Linked DNA regions of Diceros bicornis minor. The protein of the gene in region 2 interacts with the protein of the main gene of each other region in a pairwise test. Links are inferred from orthologs where the notes say so. Each region holds a gene or a part of one and is shown on either strand. Other genes may lie near its edges.

Region 1 (7,685 bases), on a different chromosome or scaffold from region 2:
ATGTTCTCTGGTGAGTGCATCTACTCCAAGGCTTCCCCACCATCTCTTCTGAGGATTCCTCAATCTGTTTCTGCTGCCCAAATCTCTCCTAAACTTGAGAAGAAGAAAAAAAACATTAATTTCAACACATCTTTGCTTATATAACTTTTTAAATAAAGTGCTTTCATTTTATAATGTTCTTTATTTTTTTTTTTAAAGATTTTGTTTATTTATTTTTCCCCCAAAGCCCCAGTAGATAGTTGTCTGTCATAGCTGCACATCCTTCTAGTTGCCGTATGTGGGACGCGGCCTCAGCATGGCCGGAGGAGCGGTGTGTCGGTGTGCACCCGGGATCCGAACCCGGGCCGCCGGCAGCAGAGCGCGCGCACTTAACCGCTAAGCCATGGGGCCGGCCCGTATAATGTTCCTTGAATATGTTCTGGTCAAAACCTTGGAGCTGAAGATTTAGGTCATTCAATGTCCAGAAAATGTCCACCCCATAACTCACTTAGCAAAGCCCATCCTCACTATAATCAGCTCAATCAGCTAAATCATACTCAACTGTTTTATTAGAAAAAGATCCAACTTCATTCTTCAATTCAAACAAACATATTAATAGTTGTTTCAAGAAATAGTCTAAAATCCATTGGGACACAAAAATATAGAATACATTTTGTAAAATTGATGATTAAAAGCAGTCAAATCAATATTAAAATAATATAGATATAATGTAATTAACTTGTCCATTTTTTATAATAGCTATGAAAGCATGAATAAATTTATATGCAGTTTCTCATTTCTTAATTTATAATATAAGTAAGGCATAGTTAAAATGATAAGTTACTATGAATTGAGAAGTATGATGAAAGTTTAAATATTTTTTTCAGTAACTCTGTGTGTGTGTGTGTGTGTGTGTGTGTGTGTGTGTGTAATTCCGGTATTCAGCTTCTGGGAAAAATTAAATAAGTATTATATAAAAATAGGTAAAAACTGGGGCCGGCCTGGTGGCACAGCAGTTAACTGCGAACGCTCTGCTTTGGCAGCCCAGGGTCGCAGGTTTGGATCCCAGGCGCTCACCGACGCACTGCTTGTCAAGCCATGCTGTGGCGGCATCCCATATAAAGTAGAGGAAGATGGGCATGGATGTTAGCCCAGGGCCAATCTTTCTCAGCAAAAAGAGGAGGTTTGGCATCGGATATTAGCTCAGGGCTAGTTTTCCTCACACACACCAAAAAGAATAGGTAAAAGCTGCCATCATTCCCACTGCCCTCACCACTACTTTTCATAGACATCAAGATCAAACCTCTCACGCGTAAGTAACTAAAGAGGAAGGCAAATGAATAAAAAGGCACTTAGTCATGGACTGCTAAAAACTACTTGGTCAGCAGCTAGCATACAATTTCCTTATTTTGCTAATAAGAGGTAGGATATATTAAATATTTTATAAGGTAAGGATTGACTCTATTTGGAAGAAAATATTTCATAATATGATTTGATACATATCTTACTGAATATTGCACACAACCTAAAAAAAGTCACATAAAAATTTAATCTGCTGGTTTTATTCAAAGTAAGTTGAAGTGTTGGTAATCTGGGAAAATATTACAGTTAGATTTAAAAGAATCAGCATCATTAACCTGTACTGCTATAGCTGTTTGAAGGAAGGTCCCTTCCCAGCCAAAGATACGTCTCAGGAAAAAGTGCCCTTATCTTTTAAAAATTCATTCTGAAATATCTACATGTGAAATGATATGATATCTAGGATTTGCTTCAAAATCATAAGGGAGTGGTGAGAATTGTACTTTACCTTTGTCTTCCTCCCAAAACCCATAACCACAGTCTAATCACAAGAAAAACATCAGACAAATTCCAGTTGAGGGATATTTTGCAAAATACCTGAGCAGTACACCTCAAAACCACCAGTGTCATCAAAACCAAGAAAAGTCTGAGAAATTGTCACAGACCAGAGGAGACCAAGGAGACATGACAACTCACTATAATGTGGTATCTGGGTGGGATCTTGGAAGAGAAAAAGGACATTAGAAGAAACTAGTGAAATCCAAATAAAGTACGGGGTTTAGTTAAGGGTACTGTACTGAAGCTGGGTCTTCAGTTGTGACAAATGTAACACAGTAATGTAAGACGTTAACAATAGGGTAAAATAGGCACGGAATACATGAAAACTCTGTACTATCTTTTGCAACTTTTAGTAAATCTAGGACTATCCTAAAATAAATTAAGATAATAATAATAATGGAGAGGGAAAAGCAGATGGGGTGGGTGGTTGGGACAGGATTGGCCAGATGTTAATGGTTATTGGGGCTATATAATGGAAGTTCATTATCCTACTCTGACTACATTTGTGTATATTTGAAATTCTCTAATATAACAAGGTAAAAAAATACATATATTGTGTTGGGGGTCCTCAAAACCATCCTCAGGTTCAGAGATTTGCTGGGAGGACTTGCAGGACTCAGCACATAATCGTACCCACAGCTATGATTTATTATAGCAAAAGGATGGAAAATAAAATCAGCAAAGGGAAAAGGCACATGGGGTGAAGTCCAGAGGAGACCAAGCACAAGCTTCCTAGAGTCCTCTCCCTATGGAGTCATACAGAATGTGCTTAATTCCTCCCCGGCATCAAACTGTGGCAACAAACATGTCACATTGTCTAGCAGGGAAGCTCATTAGAGAAGCCCAGGAGTTTTTACTGGGGGCTGGTCACATAGGCACCCTCAACCTAGCACATGTCAAGATTCCAGACTCTCAGAAGATATTCAGCATAAACCACATTGTCGGTACAAATATTTTAGACACAGTGAGCCATGCTTATCATTTAGAGAAAGGGTCTTATCAGCGTAGGGAACTGTTTACCAGTCAGGTTCCCAAATGCCAGCCAAAGGCCAACGTTACAAGCAGGCCTTTCTAAGGATAGCAGTCTCAGGCCTACACACACACACACACACACACACACACAAACACACACACTCCCCGAGGCATACAACTCTCTGGGATATAGCACAGAGATGTTTCATAACTCACACCCTCCGCCTGCCATGGAAGGTATCCCCACAACTCTCACTTGGAGACCTCATCTCCTATTCTGGTCCAGAAGTACAGGCCTGAAGGAGGAAGGGAGGACCTCTGAGGTGTGGAGGGCTGAGAAGAGGAAGTCCCAGATTTCTCAGTGGGCATAGCTGCAAATTAGCCTGGAACTCTGCACTCCTGTTCTTTGTTTTTTTTCCTTCTGTACATGGAACTTCAGTTTTGAAAAATCTACCCTGAGGAAAGAAGAGGAAGAGAAGGGAGGAAAGCAAAAATGGGAAAGAAAAGAATGAGGCCTTTTGAGAGGATGAGGCAGAATCTGGTCAGCAAACTGCTCCTAGATATCCTCTGGATCTGTTCTTAGTGCAGAAGGGTTATGAATATCATGAAGCACCTTTGAGTTTCAGGTTCCTAAAATACATACAAGTGGTGATGGCCAGCAGGCAGACAGATTTTGGAGCTGGTGAAAGGCTGAGGGACACAAGACGGCCAGGGTTCCCCCCATCTCCTTCAAACCAGGTAATACAATCTGATACACTGCAGTACACCAGCAATGAGTATTTTTGTTAAACTTTGTAAATATCTTATGAATAGTGTATTTGTATATGTGTATGTGTGTGTGTGTACTAAAAGAATTACTATAGCTTCCGTTACCCTGTTTGGTATTAAAAAAAATTTTATTTAATATGCCAGAAGTCTCAAAAAATGGAAGTCGCCCAGGATTCTCTTAATCTCTTGGCAGCCCAGGAAAGAGTGCTGGCTGGTGATACACATTTAGAAGTCATCAGCACCCAGATGTTAATCAAAGCCAAGGGAGAGAAGGGGGTCGCCCAAGAGAGCTCCTTTACGGGAAAGGAGGGCTCTGGAACCAGAACATTTAAGGGACTCGCTGAAGAAGAGGCGCCTACAAAGGAGGCTAACCAGGAATGGCCCAAGAGATTCTCCTATCGGGAGAGGAAAGACGGCCAAACAGGCGGGAAGGAAGACCGGGGGGGCGGCAAGCCAAGCCCGCGTTTAAGAGAGGAATTAATCAACAGTGTCAAACATTTGGCTAATTTTCCTCGGTCAGCACCAACCAGAATGATTCTGCCAACTCCTCCATCTCGCCGGTACTGTCTATACATCCCTAGTGGCTCTTTTAGTTTTACCCAGCGGTTTACTGTTTACTTTCTCCAATCAGACGGCTCAAGCAGGAGGTCTCTTACTCATTTTTCTCTTTCACAGAGCCTTACGCCTACTGCTCAGTTAATACCGTGGAATGATTTGAAGAACATTTGAACACCTGAACAAAGATCCAACCTTACAACTTGCTCCAGAAGCCAAATTCCCCAGGACACGACCACACTGCGCAGGCGCAAAGGCAGAAGCGCCGGCTTTCTCCGGGTCTTTGCGTTTGGCGCGAAATCCCCGCTCCGTGGGCGGGGCTGAGGCAGAAGCCGCGCTCATTGGGCAGGTTTGGCGCGAAATCCCCCGGGCTCCTGCGCCACGATTGGCTCCGTACGTCCAGGTGGGGCGAAGGGGCGGGGAGGCGGCGGCGCGCGCAAAGCGACAGCGTCCGGGGGGCAGCGACTTGTGGCGGTCGAGCGTGGTGGCCCCGTCAGCGCTAGGCAGCCATGGACCTCGCGGCAGCGGCGGAGCCGGTCGCCGGCAGCCAGCACCTGGAGGTCCGCGACGAGGTGGCCGAGAAGTGCCAGAAACTGTTCCTGGACTTCTTGGAGGAGTAAGTGTGCGGGCGCCCCTTCCTCGCGGAACTGCCCCTCCCCGCTTCCGGAGCCCGGGGGGCCGTGGGGTCGCTGCGTGTTCGGGAACCGAGGTGTCGCGCGCCTCTCAGAGCGGCCCACGCCCCACTTGGGGCTCAGCCTGGCCGCCGCGAGGAGCCCTGGACGGGCTGGGCTGGTTTCCAGGGGTACAGTCCATCTCGAGCCCTCCCTCAAACTCTTGCTGGGCCCAGTGCCCAGTGCTAAGCGCTTTACTCCCATCGCTCGGTCCTCACAGCCCGTGAGGCCGGTGGTCGTGTAGCCCCGGTGCCCTGCGCGGAAACTGAGGCTCGGTGAGGAGAAGTAAGAGGCCACGCGTCGACAGGGTCGGGCGGGAGGCCGAACTGGCCTTGGAATCCTGGCGGAGCCCTCATTGGACAGGCAGCCAGCACCCGGGTGCTGGGAGCCCCGAGGCCCCCCGCAGCCCTCGGGGCCTGTGCAGATGAAAGTACTGGAGTGAACCCTGGGGTTTGACAGCTGCTCGGTGAGGGTGAGCCCTGCCCTGCTTAAAAGTAGCTGAACGTACGCCCTCCATCCCCTCCTTCCTTCCTTTCCTTCCAACCCCCACCCCCACTTTTTTTTTGAGTTGCCTTCTAGGCTCCTGACCTCTCCTAACCCCCTCCCTGACTTTCCACCACGGCCACAGTTACTTCTCTTAGATAGTGTAGATAACATCACTGCTTTCCCTGAGAGTATGGTCTCTGCTGCCTCCAGGATGAAGTGGAAACACTATGGAATGTCTTATAAAATCCTTTTTTTTAATTGTAGTAAAATATACATAACATAAAATTTACCGGTTTAACCTTTTTTAAGCATAGAGTTCGGTGGCATTAAATACATTCATCTTGTTATGCAACCACCACCACCATCCATCTCCAGCACTCCTCTTCCCAAACTGAGACTCTGCACCCACTAAACAAGAACTCCCCGTTCCTCCTGCCCCCCAGCACCTCGCAACCACCGTTCTGCTTTCTGTCTATGAATTTGACTGCTTTAGGTATTTCATATACTTGGAGTCATACGGTATTGGTCCTTTTGTGACCAGCTTATTTCACTTGGCATAATGTCTTCAAGTTTCATTCATGTCATAGCATGTGCCAGAATTTCCTTTTTCAGGCTGAATAATATTTCATTGTATGTATATACCACATTTTCTTTCTCCATTCATCTATCCATGGACACTTGGGTTGCCTCCACACTTTTATGATTGTGAATAATTCTGCTGTCTTATGAAATTCTAATATACTTAAAACCATAATTTAATTTATAGTTCCTTACCTTTGGTGGTTATTCTCTGCTTGACAGCGGAGAATAGCTAAAGCCTAGCTAAAGGCTCATACTTCCTTTGTGAAACCCTATAAACTTTCCAGGCAGCACCAATCCTTTCTTCCCTTATGCTCCCAAGATGCCATTTTCCGTTATCTCTTGTAATGTAACATTATGTCTTTACCTGTCACCCACTTCATTTTGAATATGAATCCCATCCTTAACCCCACCTAGGCACCACACTACACTGCAAAGGTCCTCAATTAATGTTTCATTTCAACAAATAATATAATTGCCTCCACTGCCTTGCAGTTTACCAGGTAGCTAGATGCTGGGGACAATGATGAACAAGACAAATAATCCCTGTACTTTGTTGGGGGAAAAGATGTTAACTCCCTCTCAAAATAACCAACTTTGATTTGCCATTGCTTATGGAATAAAGGCCAAATTCTTCACAAGTCCTCTTTCCAGTTTCGTCTTCCACAACTGACCTGTCATCATCCACACTCCCCCCCATACCTTTTCTGACTTTGCCACATATTTGCAAACATCTGTAGCCAGTCTATCCACCACTCGTTTTTCTTTAAGATTGTAAGTCTTTCAAGGCTGAATTCCAGTGCCACCTTTTAGATGCATGAAGCCTTTCCAGATGTTCCTGTTAAGCAGAATTAGTTTAAATTCCCTTATCACATTTCTTTTACCTCCTCCTTTTTTTTCTTTCTTTTTCTTTTTTTATTTTATTGTGGAAAGAACACTTAACGTGCGATCTGCCCTCTTAAACAGATTTTTAACTGTACAATATATTACTGTTAACTGTAGGTACAGTGTTGTACAGTAGGTTAGAGCTTATTCATCTTGCTTGACTGAAACTTAATGCCGGTTGATTAGTACCTCCACATTTCCCCCTTCCTCCAGCCCCTGGCAACCACCATTCCACTCTTTGATTCTATGAATTTGACTATTTTAGATACCTTATATAAGTAGAATCATGCACTATTTGTCTTTCTGTGATTGGCTCATTTCACTTAGCTTAACCGTCTTCAAGGTTCATCCATGTTGTCACATTGCAGAATTTCCTTTTTTAAGGCTGAACAGTATTCCATTGTATGTGTATACCACATTTTCTTTCTTTATTCATTTGTCATGGACATTTAGGTTGTCTTGTACCGCTGTTTAGTAGGAATGTCTGCTAGAGAGTGTCAACCCAGGAACAACACTGTCATTTTCAGTTTCAGGTACCTTTGGCATAGTACTTTGCGTATAGATGTTGTTCAGTAAATATAACAGAGTTAGAACATGCTATTATAGGAGAAGGAATTGATTTCACCTCAAAACTAATCTGCGTGTTATGTTAAAAGACCAAAAAGCAAATATGTTTGTATAATACTCCTTTTGGAAACAAGCACACACCAGCTTTATTTTGTGTATATATATGTTTCTGTTTTCCTGAGATCTTGGGCAGTGAAGCACCTCATTTCTGTGTATTTTTATTCTCGTTCTTAAATCAGCAACTAATCTGTCAGTTTCCCTATAAAAATTGAATCTTTGGATTTTAATTTGAATTTCTTGCTTTAACATTTTCCAATCTTAATTATACATAACAGTAATAAAAGTAGTTAGTATTTGTTGATGAGA
Region 2 (7,699 bases):
TCCAGATGCTGACATCATGGTGGGAAGAAGCAGAAGACATAAACGATCAGGGTACATTGTGGAAAGTTCTATGTACCCGACCAGTCGAGCGTTCTAGGAAGCACCAACTAGGAATGCTTAGCCCAGGGGGTCCAGAAGAGTTTCACAAAGGAGATGACACCTGGACTGAGGTTGGTTGGATGAGGAGGAGGTGACTAAGTAGTTAGAGTTGACCCCCTGGTTGCAGGCTTTCCAAGCAGAAGGGTTTAACTGTACAAAGGCTCAGAGACAGGCCAGAGCCTGGAATATTTGAGGAAGAGGAAACTGGTCAGTATAGCTGAAAGAAAGACTGACTCAGTGAGGAAAGATAAGAGCTGAGGTTAGTGGAAAAGTAGGCAGGAGTCAGGTCTGTAAGTAAAGGTCTTGAATGGCAAGAAGTTTGGGATTTATAGGAACTGAGGAGCTATTGATGAATTTTGATCGGGGAAAAGCCATGCCAAGATATCGCTGTAATTGAGAGTAACAAGGGAAATGGGTTGGAGGTGGGTGAGACTGGAAATAGGCCAGTTAGAGGTAAAAAGGAGAGATGAGAGCTTAAGGAGGGTCCCCAAAGTGAGGATGTCGAGGAGAGGATGGGCTCAGGAGATGTGAGAGACAATCTGTAAGACTGGGTAAGTGGACATAGAGAATGGGGAACTCTGGCAGGGGTGACCAGGGACGTACTTAGCAATATAGGCCAGCGGCATTTGGGGGAAGGAGGCTTGAGGCCAACTAACCATTCCCACTCTGCTGCCCCTTTCCCTTTCTTGTTTCGTGTTATGTTTTAAAAGGCATCTCCATGATTCTGATGCATTCTAAATTTTAGAAGCACTGCTACAGAAAGAGACAATAATTACAAGGCTGACCACAGAATGTTGGGTTCCACCTGCGGAGTTCCTGATTCAGTAGGTCTGGTGTGGGGCCCAAGCATTTGATTCTAACAAGTTCTCAGGTGGGGCTGATGCTGCAGGTCTGGGGACCAGACTCTGAGAACCCCTGCTCTATAACATTGACATTCGATACTCTCTTCTTAAAACTCGCCTTTCTTGGCATCCTGGGCCATCATTTTCCTGCAGGCCCACCCCTGACACTGGAAAACACTGGGGTCAGAATATAAATGGAGGCCCACATACCCTGTGCATAAAGTTTAAAGTTTATAGATAAAACTAACAATCTCCTTGGAGTTCACACTGAAACACAGCACCTTGAGAAGCGGGCCTCAGCTCTGCAAACCCACCTTCTCTTCTCATCTGGACTCAGTTCTGTAGCTTCTCACTAAGGTAGCCTCTGACCAAGGATGGAGACATGCCAGCCTGCTAGCCACGCTCCCATCACCCCTCTACAACCACTGCCAAACAGCCGCCCTTAGCCACTCCTTAGACAGAGGGATCCACCCCCGAAAGACAACCAGGGGAAGAGGCTAAGCAGGTCCTGGAAGCCAGAGGGCCATTAAAAATCCCACAGTCCCAAGCACTAGAACTCAGGCTACAAGAGGTTGCCCAGGATCTGGATGGGTGCATCCCCTTGGCCTCAGGACTCCTTACCCTGTGTGAGAGACACAGCTGGAAGAGGACCAGAGCAGGGGCACCTGAACCACTCCAGCTGCTCCTGCTCAACTTCTGCTGTTGGCTCCTTTGCTGTACCTCAAATGTTTGTGCTCCCCAGGTTTCTGGCCTTGTACACCAGAGGTTCTTGATTTGGAGGGGTGTCTTCAGGAAAATATGTGAATCCCCTGAAAAGGTATACAAAATCTTGATTGTACGAGTGTGCACTTTTCTGGGGGGACAAAAAAAAAACCCTATCATTTTCACTGTATTCTCAAAGAGGTCTGTGATCACCCCTTGCCAAAAGGTTAAGAAACCACTGCAATACAGATTCTTTGTGTCAGATTTCATTTTAGATATACACAGATGACTCTCAAAGCTGTTCTCCAGTACAGACGTCTCCTTTGAACCCCATATCTGGAGATCAAACTTTTCTTTTTTTTTTTCTTTTTGGTGAGGAAGATCAGCCCTGAGCTAACATCCATGCCAATCCTCCTCTTTTTGCTGAGGAAGACCAGCCCTGAGCTGACATCTATCGCCAATCCTCCTCCTTTTTTTCCCTTTTTCTCCCCAAAGCCCCAGTAGATAGTTGTATGTCATAGTTGCACATCCGGCTAGTTTTTGTATGTGGGACTCCGCCTCAACATGGCGGGACAAGCGGTGCGTCGGTGCGTGCCTGGGATCCGAACCAGGGCACCCAGTAGCGGAGCACACACACTTAACTGCTAAACCATGGGGCCGGGCTCCCCCACTTTTTTTTTTGTTGTGAGGAAGATCAGCCCTGAGCTAACATCCATGCCAATCTTCCTCTTTTTGCTGAGGAAGATTGGCCCTGAGCTAACATCCGTGCCCATCTTCCTCCACTTTATGTGGGGCGCCACCACAGCATGGCCTGATAAGCGGTGCGTCGGTGCGCGCCCGGGATCTGAACCCAGGCTGCCAGCAGTGGAGCTCGCGTACTTAACCGCTACACCATGGGGCCGGCCCCCAAACTTTTCTTAATCAGTATCTTTCACACATCTCTAAAAAAAAAATCTAAACCTATATAAAAAAACCAAATCTGACCCAGCCCTGATGGCCTAGTGGTTCACGGTCGGCGCTCACCACTTCGGCGGTCTGGGTTTGTTTCTCAGTCCTGGAACCACACCACCTGTCTGTCGGTTGCCATGCTCTGGCGGCGGCTCACGTAAGAATTAGAAGGACTTACAACTAGGATATACAACACTGCAGTGGGGCTTTGGGGAGGAAAAAAAAGAGGAATATTGGCAACAGACGTTAGCTCAGGGCCAATCTTTCCCTGAAAAAAAGAATGGAATCATTGTTCTTAAAAAATAAGTAAATAAATAAATAAAATAAATCTATCTTCTCCCCAACCCTGTTCTGTTCTTCCTGTGTTCTCTGCTTCAGTGCCTTGCCTCAAACACACCCCAAGCTCTCCTCTCTTCCCCCATCCCCCCTCCTCCCTGCATCCTTCTCTCCCTCCTAATTTTTTCTCCAAATTACCTCCACCTCCTTCCTCAAAATCACCAGTATACTAATTCCAATCATAATTGCTTGATCCCTCACTTGAGGCAAGTTTGAGGCCTTAGATCAGTACTGTTTCCTATTTCTTGCATGGAATTGGATGCAAAGTGGACCTGGAAACTCAAGGGGAAGAAAAGAACTTCAGAATAAGAATCAGAATTGGTTCAGGAGTGTTGGCATGATGGCTAAGAATAAATCCATGATGAACTTTTACAATTCCATGTGATGCATTTAAAATCCTTTCTTCAGTTTGATTACTATAGTTCCTCTGTTACCGTGAATTTTTCAACACTAGCCACTCTTAAACGTGGTATTGTTCCTATTTCTGGGTCAATATAATAGGTCCAGATAACAGGGCTAAGCTCATAAATGGAGCATTAATACTTGATTAGGACATACAAAAAAAAATCAATGTAGATGGCATCAGGACTGTTTTATTTTCCAGTCATCCTAAAGCTGATTTTAATGTTTCTGAAAATGAAGGTAAACACAGTGGACAGAGATATCATCTTATATGAAATGCATTATCAGTGGGAGAATGCAGTGCCTAAATAGTCTGAGAGAGGGAAAAAGAAAGACTAAAAATAGTCATTTGGTCCATCAAAAACTGTTCTGCTTTTAATTCTCTGAATTTCTGTAGAAGCTACATATTATTCTGCATTTAGAAACTGTGTTCTTGGAATTATGTACAAACACTATTTTTAGACCGTAAATATTTAAGTCTGAATTTTACTAAAACATATTCTGTGAAAAATCTGGTCTCCCGATAAGTTATTCTCAGCTCTGACGCCAGTTACAGTTCTCCAAGTCTACGGACCACGAATTCCTCGGAAACTGGTTTCTACTGTGTCAAATGCTGCCATCCAGCGTCTCCTTCGCATTTTACAGATGGTGAAGCGGAATCCCAACGGGATGTTACTTCCCCAAGGTCAGGCGGAGTTAATAGTCGACCAGATTTTTGTTTGTTTTTGAGTCCAGTCATCTCAATTGGACACAAGGTTGTGAAACAGCCAACTAAGTGAAACAATCAACCGGCTTGTTGGGACTTCTCCACGATCAGTCCCCCACAGGACATCTCGGGGGGCAGGAGTACGTTTGGAACGGGCTCCATGGTTTAAGCGTACACGTGCGGGCTTCTCCGCGTCCAGCGTTACCGTCCACCTCACTGAAAGAGAACAGGAGGCTCGCAAGGATCGGATGACACACTCAGTCCCGGAAAGTGTCAGGAACTGAGTTCGGACCTCCTGTGAAAATGTCACACAGGAAGTCTTCCCGGCGCTGGCCGGGGGCTCCAGAATACTCTTATCTAAAGGAGCCCGCGGCAGCAACGACCGGAAGTTCCCTTGCCCCCAAGAAAGAGGGCGCCGGTCACGGGAGCCAATCAGCTTGCTCTACGCAAGGAGCGCGCGTCGCGCTCACTCGTAGGTCTTCCACTCCGAGAGCTCTGACGTAGCCAATCAGCGCCGGCCCCACGTCTGACGTCAGACGCGGGGATGGGTTAAGTTGGAATTTTGGCGGGTCTGGCTGGAGAGGAGAGTTGGCGCGGAGTCAGGTAAGAAGTGGGGCCTGGGTGTGGGGTGGCCTTCGGGTCGCGGGGGGAGAGGGGCTGCCACGCGCGTCTGCCGGCGAGTTTAGAGAGCTCCGAGGACGGGGGCGCTGAGGTGGGCGAGACCGGAATCGGGCTGCGGGGGGGGGCGGCCTCGGGCGAACGGCCGGCCGGGGGGGGGGGGGCCGCTGGGTGCGGGTGACCGGACGGTGCGGGGCTGGGGGCTGCGTGGCACTTCTGAAATGCATCGGGGAGGCGCCAGGCGTCGGGCTGTCTTCTATATGTAAGGGATCAGGTTTTTCTGTTTAAAAACAACCTTTTAAAACGCTTGCCTAGTGCATGCTGTTTGCACTTCTTTTACTCATTCATTCGTATTTTTTTAAAAATTCATGATTTGCTAATAGTTTTCGAATACGTGCCATGTGCAGTGTTCCAAACACACATTACTTCTGCCCACTTGAAGCTTACAATCTAAAGAGGGTGACAGTTAACAGACAAGTACACGATAGTGGAAGGGGCAGTTTAGTCATGAGGAGGGTGAAGTGGAGAGGATCAACGGGGTCTAGCCAGGTAGGGTGGACTGGAAGGCTCGAAAAAAACTGATAGTTAAGCGGAGACTGAAGGATGAGAAGGAGCAGGGGAGAGCTTCCCAGACAAAGAACCTGAGGCCTGATAGCACTTGGGGTGTTCAAGAAGTTGAAAGCAGGCTAGTCTGGCTGGAGCATCCTTTGTGGGGAGGGTAGAGTTGGGCGGAGTGGACGCCTAGAAAAGATGAGGAAGTGGAAGCAGGCAAGGGGGAGTAGCCATTGCCTCGTAGGCTTTATAAATTTTGTTTTAAGGGCGATGGAAAATCATTAAAGAATTTTGATTAAGGGAATGCCACGATCTGATTTATGTTCCGAAAAGATTACTAAGGAAAGAAAAGACTGTTGTGGCTGTCATAGGGAAGCTAGATTACGAAGAGACAGAGAGACCAATACAGGAAGCTAATACAGTATAGTCCAGTCAGAAGATTGATGGTGGCTTGGACTAGGCTTTGGGTAGTGAAGTTAGGGAAGTGGAAGGTTAGAGCAATATTTTGGAACTAGAACCCATAGCACTTATTGGATGGTCCTAGTTGTGAGGGTGAGGAAGAGTGCATGGGTTTATTAGGGGGGCAAAGGGTGGTTGGTTATAGAAATGAACAAGACAGTTTGCTCCTGATGCTAAAGAAGCTTACAATCCAGTAGAAGTTTACAATCCAATTTCCCAGTAGACAACACAGTGTGGGGCACATGATGGGTCCATGGAAATGTTTGTCGAATAAATAAAAAGAAAGTACCATAATTAATACCTTGACATTGGACTTACCAAGGTCACATATATTATAGAGCACATATATGTTAAATAATAGCCTGGAAAAACTTACACCTTCTGACAATTTTAAAAAATTATTTTAAATGAAAAAAGGAAAGTGCGCGGAATAATATGAATTTATCCTAATTAGCTATGCCAGCTGTGCCTCTGAGCTTTGCTAACTAGTATTGAATAATCCTGATGCGGCTAAGGCTGCAGCTAAGTAGAACCGCGCACTAGGCTGCTAGGGATATTGTAGACATCAAATGTGTTACAATAAATAAAATGGGTTGTTAGCCCAAATATTTAGACCAGCCTCAATAATACCTGTTCCCAATTTGTCTCATCCATATAATCTAGTATCTTTGTACCTCAACCAAGTGTCTCTAGCCATACTTTGAAGACAAGAAAAAGGGGACTGCTTCTGTACTAGGAGGGAGATGGTGTTGGCAGTGGGGGTGAGAAATGGTCAGATTCTGGATGAATTCTGAGGTTAGAGCTCCTGAGATTTGTAAGATTCGGGATTTGTTGGATATGCCATGTGAGAGAGAAAGAAGATCGAGGGTGACTTTTCTAATGTAGATTTCACACAGCCAAGATTCTGCCTTACTGCCATCTCCTGTGCACCTGGTCCTCCTTCCACGTTCTCCATCATCACTGCTCTCTTGACAGCAATGGATGGTAAGTCCTGGCAGTTTTCTCATTTCTCTTTGTATCATGGAAAACCACCTTTTTGTCCCTGGACTTGTTATTTATTCTACTTGCAAAGTAGTGAAAATAGCTACCCCACCCTCAAGTATTGTCTGAGTGGTTCACAAGAGATCTTGCTTCAGTCACCGAATGTTATTTGTTTTAATCAGGTGGGATGTCTCCTTCTGGCAGCAGTAATTATCTTGCGTAATAATGATAGTTGGCGTATACTTAAAATGTGCAAAACCCTGCTCTTAGATCCTTATCTATTTTAACTGATTTAATCTTCATAGCAACCGTATTTTGTAGACAGGAAAATAGATGTTTAGTAGCTTGTCACAGGTGAAACTGTCAGAGCAGGAATTTTAACCCAGGCAGTCTGACCTCAGAGGTCACATTTAGTATTGAAATCTGTCGAAGTGGTTTTAGTTTGGCTCTGACTTAAATTATTACAGTCCTGGGCCGGCCCCGTGGCTTAGTGGTTAAGTGCACACACTCCGCTGCTGACGGCCTGGGTTCGGATCCCGGGCGTGCACCGATGCGCTGCTTCTCCAGCCATGCTGAGGCTGTGTCCCACATACAGCAACTAGAAGGGTGCAGCTATGACATACAACTATCTACTGGGGCTTTGGGGGGGGGGGGAAATACAGTCCTTTCTAATTTTGTTCATTTTGCAGAGATATGCGCGAAATATTTACCAGTAAAGAGATGTTGCTCTAATTAGCAGAGCTTAGCCTGAGAGCAGCACAGAAATGATTGTGATGGCTGTGAAGAGACCCTAGCAAATAAAATGCATTATTTTTTTGGTGTATAATTGAGCTCATTGTCTGAAACTGAATTATTTTTTCAAAATTCAAGTCTATTACATTTTGCCCTTTAAAAAAAAATAGAACCAGATGTTGTTGAAATTCATCATGCTATGATAATATGTGAAATTCATTGCACTTTTGGTATAATGATAATTTCCTGTTTCCTAAAATCACCAAATTACCTACAGGGCAGTGCTTTAATATAAAGTATACCTATTTGCTATGAGATGGTC
Region 3 (8,058 bases), on a different chromosome or scaffold from region 2:
ACACCATCAAGGATATTGAGCCGTGAGATGGAAAAAAACTGAGTCCTTACATTGTTGAGCTGCTGAATAAACCAGTCTTGAAGTTTGCCCTTTTGTATTTATTGTGCAATGATAATACATTTTCTTATTATTTATCCATTTTGAAATGTGTTTCTATTAACTTGCAGCCAAAAGCCTCTTAATTATCCTTCAAAATTTAGCCTAAGTGTCTACTTCTGAGGAAACTTCCAGACTATTTTTGTTCACACTTCTTTTTCAAAATACTTTTAAAATATAGCATTCAAACGTGACTTCTGGGCTGGCCCCATGGCCTAGTGGTTAAGTTTGTCACGCTCTGCTTCGGCAGCCTGGGTTTGGTTCCCAGGCGTGGTCCTCCACCACTTGTCGGCAGTGTGGTAGTGACCTGCGTATAAAGTGGAGGAAGATTGGCACAGGTGTTAGCTCATGGCTAATCTTCCTCAAGCAAAAAAAAGAGGAAGACTGGCAACAGATGTTAGCTCAGGGCTAATCTTCCTCAGCAAAAACAAACAAAAAAACAAATGTGACTTCTTTGGTTCTGTTAAATTCCAGTCTTAAAATTGTTTCTTGGTCTTATTTCTTCAACTTAATTGCAAGTGCTTTGGAAACTCCAACATCAAAGTACCTTGTATGTAGATAAGCAAATATCTATTTTTTCTCTGCCTTCCTAAATTTGTGATCACATACATACATAGTGTGAGCTTATGGAAACATTTGTTGGTGTGACAAAGGAGAAGTTAACTAAATCAATTTAACAGTCTTTAAAGCTTTTAAAATAAAGATTTTGTCATTTGTTTTCTAGTTATCACCACTGACTGAAGAAGAGAAAACTGCAGCAGAGCAATTAAAATCTCACATGTCAGATTTATGAAGAAATGGACCTGCAAGAGGGAACTCTAATGGAGAAGAGATCAATTCCAGAGAGGTTTAGGAAGATGTCTTGTTAGCAGTTGATAACTAGAGGTGGGGGGATGGTGAAGGAGAAGATTTGGCTTGGGTGACTGGATAGTGTGCCTTTCACAAGAGAGGGGAATATAGGAGGGGCAGATATTATATTAATAATTAGCCAAAAGGATAGAATGGGAATAAAGGGATTTAAAAAATATATGCACATACTCTTAGTCTTATCATTTCAGGCAAGGAATTCTCTTAATACTATTTTGCATCTGTTTTTGTATAATTAGGATAACATAGGTGTCCTGGCCTATTGTAAAAGAATATTTGTGTACTATCAGTCAAACGTGAATGAGCATGCTTTGGAAATTAAAGGATAGAAAAAATATTTGTATTATATATGTAGATAATTTTATTTTGGAAAATTTTGATTGCAAATGTGCTCACATTATCTGTGAGACTAATATGTGACCTACAGTCTCCTACAAAACCTAACTTTAGTAGTAAGCTGGCTTTTCTAAGACAGCCTCACTTTTGTTTCTTTTTTTCCTATTCCTTATGCCTACTAATGTTGAACAGCATGAGCTCTGCTTTCAAATGCTGTTTCAGATGGTCCCTCTTGTATTTCCTTTTTTTTTTTTTTTTGTGAGGAAGATCAGCCCTGTAACATCCAATTCTGATCCTCCTCTTTTTTGCTGAGGAAGACTGGCCCGGGGCTAACATCCATGCCCATCTTCCTCTACTTTATATGGTACGGCGCCACAGCATGATTTGACAAGCTTTGCTTCAGTGCACACCCAGGATCTAAACCTGCGAACCCCGGGCGGCAAAGCAGAGTGCTCGCACCTAACCGCTGCGCCACCGGGCTGGCCCCTCCCTCTTGTATTTCAATACTACCTTTGTTCTCTTTCAGCCTATATTACTATAGTTGTTCATTCTATATGAAAAGTAAGAAACTGAAATCAGAGGAGCACTGGCTATTGCTACTTGCCAGTTTGTGTGTGTGTGTGTGCGTGTATGTGAATTTCCCTATTTATTTTTAAATAACTATGGGCAATAAGGTAATTGTTCAAAGTAGGGACAGATCTTGATACAAAGATGTTAATCAGAGTTATCTATAATAGAAATACACATACATATCCAGCTACTGGTATCTAAATAGGAAAGGAAATCATGTGTATCTATACAATAAGAGGTCAAGTTGCCAATAAATTATTACTGTTAATGTTCTGGGAAATGCTGAAGCTATGCTAAATGGGAGAGAAGAGAAGCACATCTTGCAGTTTTATAGTTAAGATTGGGCTTTGGAGTCATACCTGAGATGTAAATAGCAGGTTTTCAAATCTGGCTATGTGACCTTGAGCAAATCACTTAACTTCTATGTGTCAGGATGGTTGGAAGCACAATGAGATGGTAAAGTGGTTGGGTCTGATATTTAGTAATCCTTCAATAAATGGTTTTTCCATATATGTAATAAAAATAAGGCATTGAAAAGACTAGGAAAAATGCATCAAATGTTAGTTCTGCAGGTTAGAGAATTACACTTTCATATAATTAAAAAAATTTCTGTTGTGAGCATGTAGTTGTCCATTAAAAAACTTATAATAGCTGACAGACACGGTTGGGAGAGTAGCTTCAGTTAAAATTGTCCTGTCTAATTTAAGAACAGAAAGCTCCCCTTTTTTAAATTACAGAGAAATAAGTCACACCTTAGTAACAGATATTAATTTTCTTCAGTATTCAGGCAATTAATATTAAGGAAGTTTCTGTTGGGGGATGGCCCTGGGATATGATATTGATTGGTGGGATTGAAAAATGATAGTATCATGAGGTCATAACAAGTTCCTGGTGTTCAAGTGGTTTTGCTTTCACTTGGGAAAAATACTAGACTGTACTGTTTTTCCTTCCTTCTCAGCTATCTTCGAAATGTTGGTTCTTCCCCTCATCTCCCTTAAAATTGTTCTCTATGCACTTCTTTATATATTCATTTGTTTCCCAAGCTTCATTTATTGTCTCTTTGTGGATAATTCCCAAATATAACTCTTGCACTAGATCTACATCCATATTTCCAATGAAAACCTTTACTTGAGTATTCAAATTGAACACGTCAAAAATACTTACTGATTTCGTTATTGGCCACTATTCTGGTTAGTTGATAAAATCTATAATTTTGTCTCTGGAATGTTCATAGTTTCCAACCTCCACTTCATTCTTACTACCCTAATTTAGACCTTTTATTTCCCATCTGGATAATTGTTTTCTCTTATGTGACTATAGTGTTTTTATGTTTTTAGTTGTAAGTAATAAAAATTAATTTTAATTAAGTTGTTTTAATGCAACTTTAATTTTAAGAAATTTAAAAATACAAGTGTGCCTATTCTCCAGAAGTAATCTGCAGTTTCTTCAGATGTTTCTACATGTATACAAATTAAATTTTTTTTCATTACAAAAATAGGCTGATACCACACATTGTACTGCAGCTGCACTTGGTTTTTTCATTTTAAATATATTTTGGATATCTTCATGTCACAAATCTGCCATTCTTTTGAACAGCTGTAATCCAATATATGGGTGTCCCATAATTTTTACTAGTACTTTATTGATAGGCTTTAAGCTGCATAATAGACAAGTTAGGAGATTTGTCTGGGGCAGGGGCAGTAATGGGGGGAGGGCAGTAAGGTCAGCCTTTAAGGAATTCTGATGGAGCAGATTACAGGCTTCCCAACTCCACAGTGTGTAGTTTAGCATCCTGCCAACTAACTTCTTTTTTGCTTAAGTTAGCCAGAATCTGACTTTGTGCTTGCAACCAATGACTAGCTGTACAGGTTTTCTAATTTTTCAGTTATAAACTATTGTAATAAATCCTGAAACGTTTTTGGGTTCTTGGGCAAATATATCTATTTGTACAAGAACCTATTGTAATATTTATCATATATATTTTAATTTGTCTTATTCTTTTCTACTATACTGGGTTGCAAAGACCATTTCTCATTACTCTTTGAATCTCAAGTAGTGTTCTATAAATTTTTTTGAGGTAAAATTCACATAACATAAAAATTAACCATTTAACATTATTAAAGTGTACAATTGAGGGCATTTTAGTACAAATGGTGTTGTGCTACCATCACCTCAATGTTGTTCCAAGACCATGAATAATTGTTGGTGAACGAATTTTTCCGTCACAGATTAATCTTCCTAATTTATATCTTTGTCCATGGCTCACATAGTTTAAAAAAATTGTTGTTATCCACTACTTATAAGAAAGTCCAAATGCCTTGATACCAAGAACTTCTTTCTAGATTGTTGATTCTCTACATGTGCACTTTAGGTTGGGTTAAGTATAGTAGGTATTTGCAACAAACCAGAATGGAAAAATTAAGTTCAAATTAAGAATTTGATGTACGTCCTTTATCTCACACCTTCAATTCCTGCAATCGTTAAACATCTCTTATGCTAGAGAATTGTAGAAAGCAGACGCCAATAGAAGAAAGTTGAAGACAGCTGATAACCCTTGTGCACTTTCCATAGTTCCAGAGTAACAGCTCACCTCAAGCGGCAAGAAATGCAGGGCTGGGGTGGGGTGGGGTGTGGTATCGGTCTGATGTCTACACAGTCTGCGGTCTTTTCCTCCCACCCCGAAATGAGAAGCCCCACCGGTCTAAGCTTCATGATCTGGAGCTTTGCTTGCGTAGGTGGGGCGGAAGTCTTAAAAACCTGAGAATCTGGGCTTCCTCCCCGAGAACGAACTACCAGCCGAGAATCCTTTGCACCATGGTTTCTCAAAGCGCGGGCCACAGAGTGGTTGTTGAAAACGTGGATTGCATGGAGCCCCACCCTAGAATCACCGAGTCCGAATACCCAAGGGTGTGGCTCCGGAGTCGGCGTTCTCCACTAGCACACCAGGTGCCTCCGGTCATTGGCGCGCAAAACTTTGAGACGGGTGGAGCGCTGCCCCTCCCCCGAGGGGGGCGGGGCGAAGCGAAGCGCTAAGCTCCTGGCCGCCTGCGCTAGCCTGGGGCCGAAGGCACGCAACCCTGCGGCAGCGAGCCGCCAAATCTCGTCTGCGCACCCGCAACGCGGGAACTAGGGGTCCGCCCCGCCGCTGCACTCCCCTAACGCAGCGTCCTGCGCGCATGCGCGCCGCGCCTTCCCTAGCCGCCGCGGCTCCAGCTGCCCTGGTTACCGTTGGTGTTTGCGAACTCCCTGCACCGCCGTCTTCGCTGGAGACCAGCGCCGCCCGGCTGTAGCAGCGGTTCGATACCCCGCGTCACGTGGGCCGAGACTCCCTCGCGGTCGCTGGCGGGCGGCTGAGCCGGGAGGAAGGAGCTGCGGCCACAGCTCGCCCTCCCACTGCGCCCTGTGGCGGGCTCGCGAATAAAAATGGCGAAGGGGGGGTAGCTGGCGCCGAACCCGAAGCGATGGGGCGCGCAGGTGGGACAGTCGTCGGAGCACCCTGACGTGGGCGCCGGGCTGTTCTCCGCGGCGATTTGTCCCGGCGACCTCGGGCCGGCGCCTTCTAGGTCAGTCTACGGACTCCGCGGGTCGCCAAGGGCCCCGCCGAGAGCCGGAGGCAATGGATGAACAGAGCGTGGAGGTGAGGGGGCTTGAGGTGGGTGGTGGTTAGTCTACCCCCCGCCCCCCCCGCTAAGCGTTCTTTATTTCTTTATCCGGGGCGCTTTGCCCTAGTCCTCCCTCTGGTAGGGCACCCCACCCTGCCGCTGTGGAGAGGGCCTCCCCCCGTGCGAAGGACACAGCGCTTATTTGCAGCCTTCCAGGTGCCTTGTGCTCTGGCCGTTCCCGCAGTCAGATGGTTCGTATCCTGGCCTTTTCTGGATGTCTTGGCACCGGTATTCATCCCCACAGGGTTTTTGCAAAGTACAGCGTGTGCAGAGCAAAACTGCGAATTCATCAGATGGACGTGCCCTGCGACTCGCCACCAGTTCTTGCGAGTTTACGCGCGGATCCACATCTTCCGAATGGACAAATCATTCCCGCCCAGCGGTACATTTTGCAGCCCTTCCTAGATTGAATGAAGATATACTCTTACTATCCTATTTGACTGTAGTTTTCCGGAAAAACCTATTATTTTTATATCTGACTCTTGTAAGCTGTGATTTCGAATGGTTGGGATATTTACATTAAGGCTAGCAACATAAAAAAGATTGTTTATTAGACTCAATTATATAATAATTGTCAAATTTTGATCCTTCCAAGTACTAAATCTTTGCTTCTCAGTAAGGGGCAACTATGTTACTGGGCACTCCACTTGGAACTAGTTAACCCAGTGGTCGTATTGGCCACCCCCCCACGTCTGCATGTCACAGGTTCTTTCTGGTCCTGCAGAGTCATGATGAGACTCATGAGTAATTTTTTCCTTAATTCCTCGTGTGAAAGTATCATAAAGGTTTTGTAACCTTACCTTGGTTTTGGGAGAGTTTAATTCTCCTGGAATGGAGTCAAAATGAATGTGAGTACTGTAAAAACAAACATAAAATATATAATAACCTGTATTTAATTGTATCTGTTTTCTTGTCAGTTACTTCCTAAATTGATTCATCTAAGGCTTGCAAAGATAATACTGCTTTTTCTATTTATGTAATTTTTTTTCTTCCCAGAGCGTTCATAGAGCTACCACCAAAACTCAATAGGGGCAGAATCTCAGGCTCAAATAAATAGCTAGTTGGTTTCAGCATCAGGGCAGAAATTTGGATTTCTGGATTCTGAATTAGTTTTTCTCGTGATCAAAGCACACTGCTATTAGGATATGTATCTTTTTAAACCTTTTTTTTTAAGTTATAAAAGCAGTCCATCCTCTTGGGGAAAGTGCAGAAAACAGTAGAAAGTTCATATTGTTCATTCAATTATATAGTTTTTTTTTCTTACTGTTATACATCATAAGCATTTTTCTGTATCATTAAATAATTCAAAAAATATTTCTAGTGATTATCATAATCTGTATTAACTGCCATAGTTTAATTAGTATTTGGATATTTGGGCTAATAGCCAGATTCTTGCCATTATAATTAATGCTTCAGTGAAAATATTTGTGCATAAGTCTATGTTTGCGTTTCATATCTTTTCCTTAGAATAGAATCATTGAAAGCTTAGAAAAAAGGAAGCACCTTTTCCAGGAGACGTTCTCAGGTACCCTGGACCTTGACTAACCAAGTCCTGATATGGTATAAAGTTATCAGCCCAAAATAAATGTAAATATTGAGTGAATTATTTTAAGCATGCCTTTTACTCTTCATGCAGTAGCCTAATGTGGTGGACTTTACATCTTTTACTATTTTCAGAGCATTGCTGAGGTTTTCCGATGTTTCATTTGTATGGAGAAATTGCGGGATGCACGCCTGTGTCCTCATTGCTCCAAGCTTTGTTGTTTCAGCTGTATCAGGGTAAGTTGTATTTCTTTTTACGTGCATTTAGTATATATAGGATATATCGTAAAAAGTAACCTTTTCCTTTATCTTTTTTGTATTTTACATTTTGGACCCTTTTTAAAAATATCTTAAATGAGGGGCCGGCCCAGTGGTGCAGCGGTTATGTGCGCGGGCTCCGCTTTGGCGGCCCAGGGTTCACAGGTTCGGATCTCGGGCACGCACCAATGCACCAGTTGTCAAGCCATGCTGTGGAGGTGTCCCATATAAAGTAGAGGAAGTTACTTTAGGATGTTAGCCCAGGGCCAGTCTTTCCCAGAAAAAAAAGGAGAATTGGCATCGGATGTTAGCTCAGGGCTGATCTTCCTCACACACACAAAAAAATCTTAAATGAATATTCCTTAAGACCGTCGATGTATATTGTTTAGTACAGGGAGATGAATAATCATCAAATGATAACTGCCATGAAATGTCTGGAAATCAAAGCCCAGTGTAATTTAGTATATTTACGTTAAGTCACTGCACATTTAACAAGTAGTTATGAAGTGCTTGCCTGCATTGTGTTTGTGGTTGAGGGATGTTAAGATATGTGAGAAAGTGTTTGCCCTGAAGGAGCTTAAATCTAAGTGAGAGGATGGACTTTGAGTTTATGTTGAAGAATGTGTAGTGTCATAAAGAGGCGCTAACATGGGCCGGCCCCGTGGCTTAGCGGTTAAGTGCGTGCGCTCTGCTGCTGGCGGCCCGGGTTCGGATCCCGGGCACACAC

The links.
Region 1: the proteins of MCM10 (region 2) and MCM6 interact in binary tests that used the Homo sapiens proteins (3 or more experiments, as listed by UniProt). The two-hybrid records come from large-scale screens. The link is inferred for Diceros bicornis minor from reciprocal best matches to the Homo sapiens genes MCM10 and MCM6.
Region 3: the proteins of MCM10 (region 2) and TRIM37 interact in a two-hybrid assay, tested with the Homo sapiens proteins (2 studies listed by BioGRID and IntAct). The link is inferred for Diceros bicornis minor from reciprocal best matches to the Homo sapiens genes MCM10 and TRIM37.

The regions. Positions count from the first base shown.
Region 1 is NC_080749.1:21,381,864-21,389,548, reverse strand, and holds the start of MCM6 (DNA replication licensing factor MCM6), read left to right. Parts: upstream 1-4,599; 5' UTR 4,600-4,640; coding exon 4,641-4,747; intron 4,748-7,685. UniProt on the Homo sapiens protein: Acts as a component of the MCM2-7 complex (MCM complex) which is the replicative helicase essential for 'once per cell cycle' DNA replication initiation and elongation in eukaryotic cells.
Region 2 is NC_080775.1:13,615,656-13,623,354, forward strand, and holds the start of MCM10 (protein MCM10 homolog), read left to right. Parts: upstream 1-4,613; 5' UTR 4,614-4,638; intron 4,639-6,549; 5' UTR 6,550-6,641; coding exon 6,642-6,648; intron 6,649-7,699. UniProt on the Homo sapiens protein: Acts as a replication initiation factor that brings together the MCM2-7 helicase and the DNA polymerase alpha/primase complex in order to initiate DNA replication. Additionally, plays a role in preventing DNA damage during replication.
Region 3 is NC_080757.1:28,654,360-28,662,417, forward strand, and holds the start of TRIM37 (E3 ubiquitin-protein ligase TRIM37), read left to right. Parts: upstream 1-5,040; 5' UTR 5,041-5,485; coding exon 5,486-5,506; intron 5,507-5,775; coding exon 5,776-5,913; intron 5,914-5,930; exon of another isoform or gene 5,931-6,373; coding exon of another isoform or gene 6,374-6,379; intron 6,380-7,208; coding exon 7,209-7,310; intron 7,311-8,058. Other genes in the region: SKA2 (spindle and kinetochore-associated protein 2), read left to right, coding at 821-833. UniProt on the Homo sapiens protein: E3 ubiquitin-protein ligase required to prevent centriole reduplication. Probably acts by ubiquitinating positive regulators of centriole reduplication.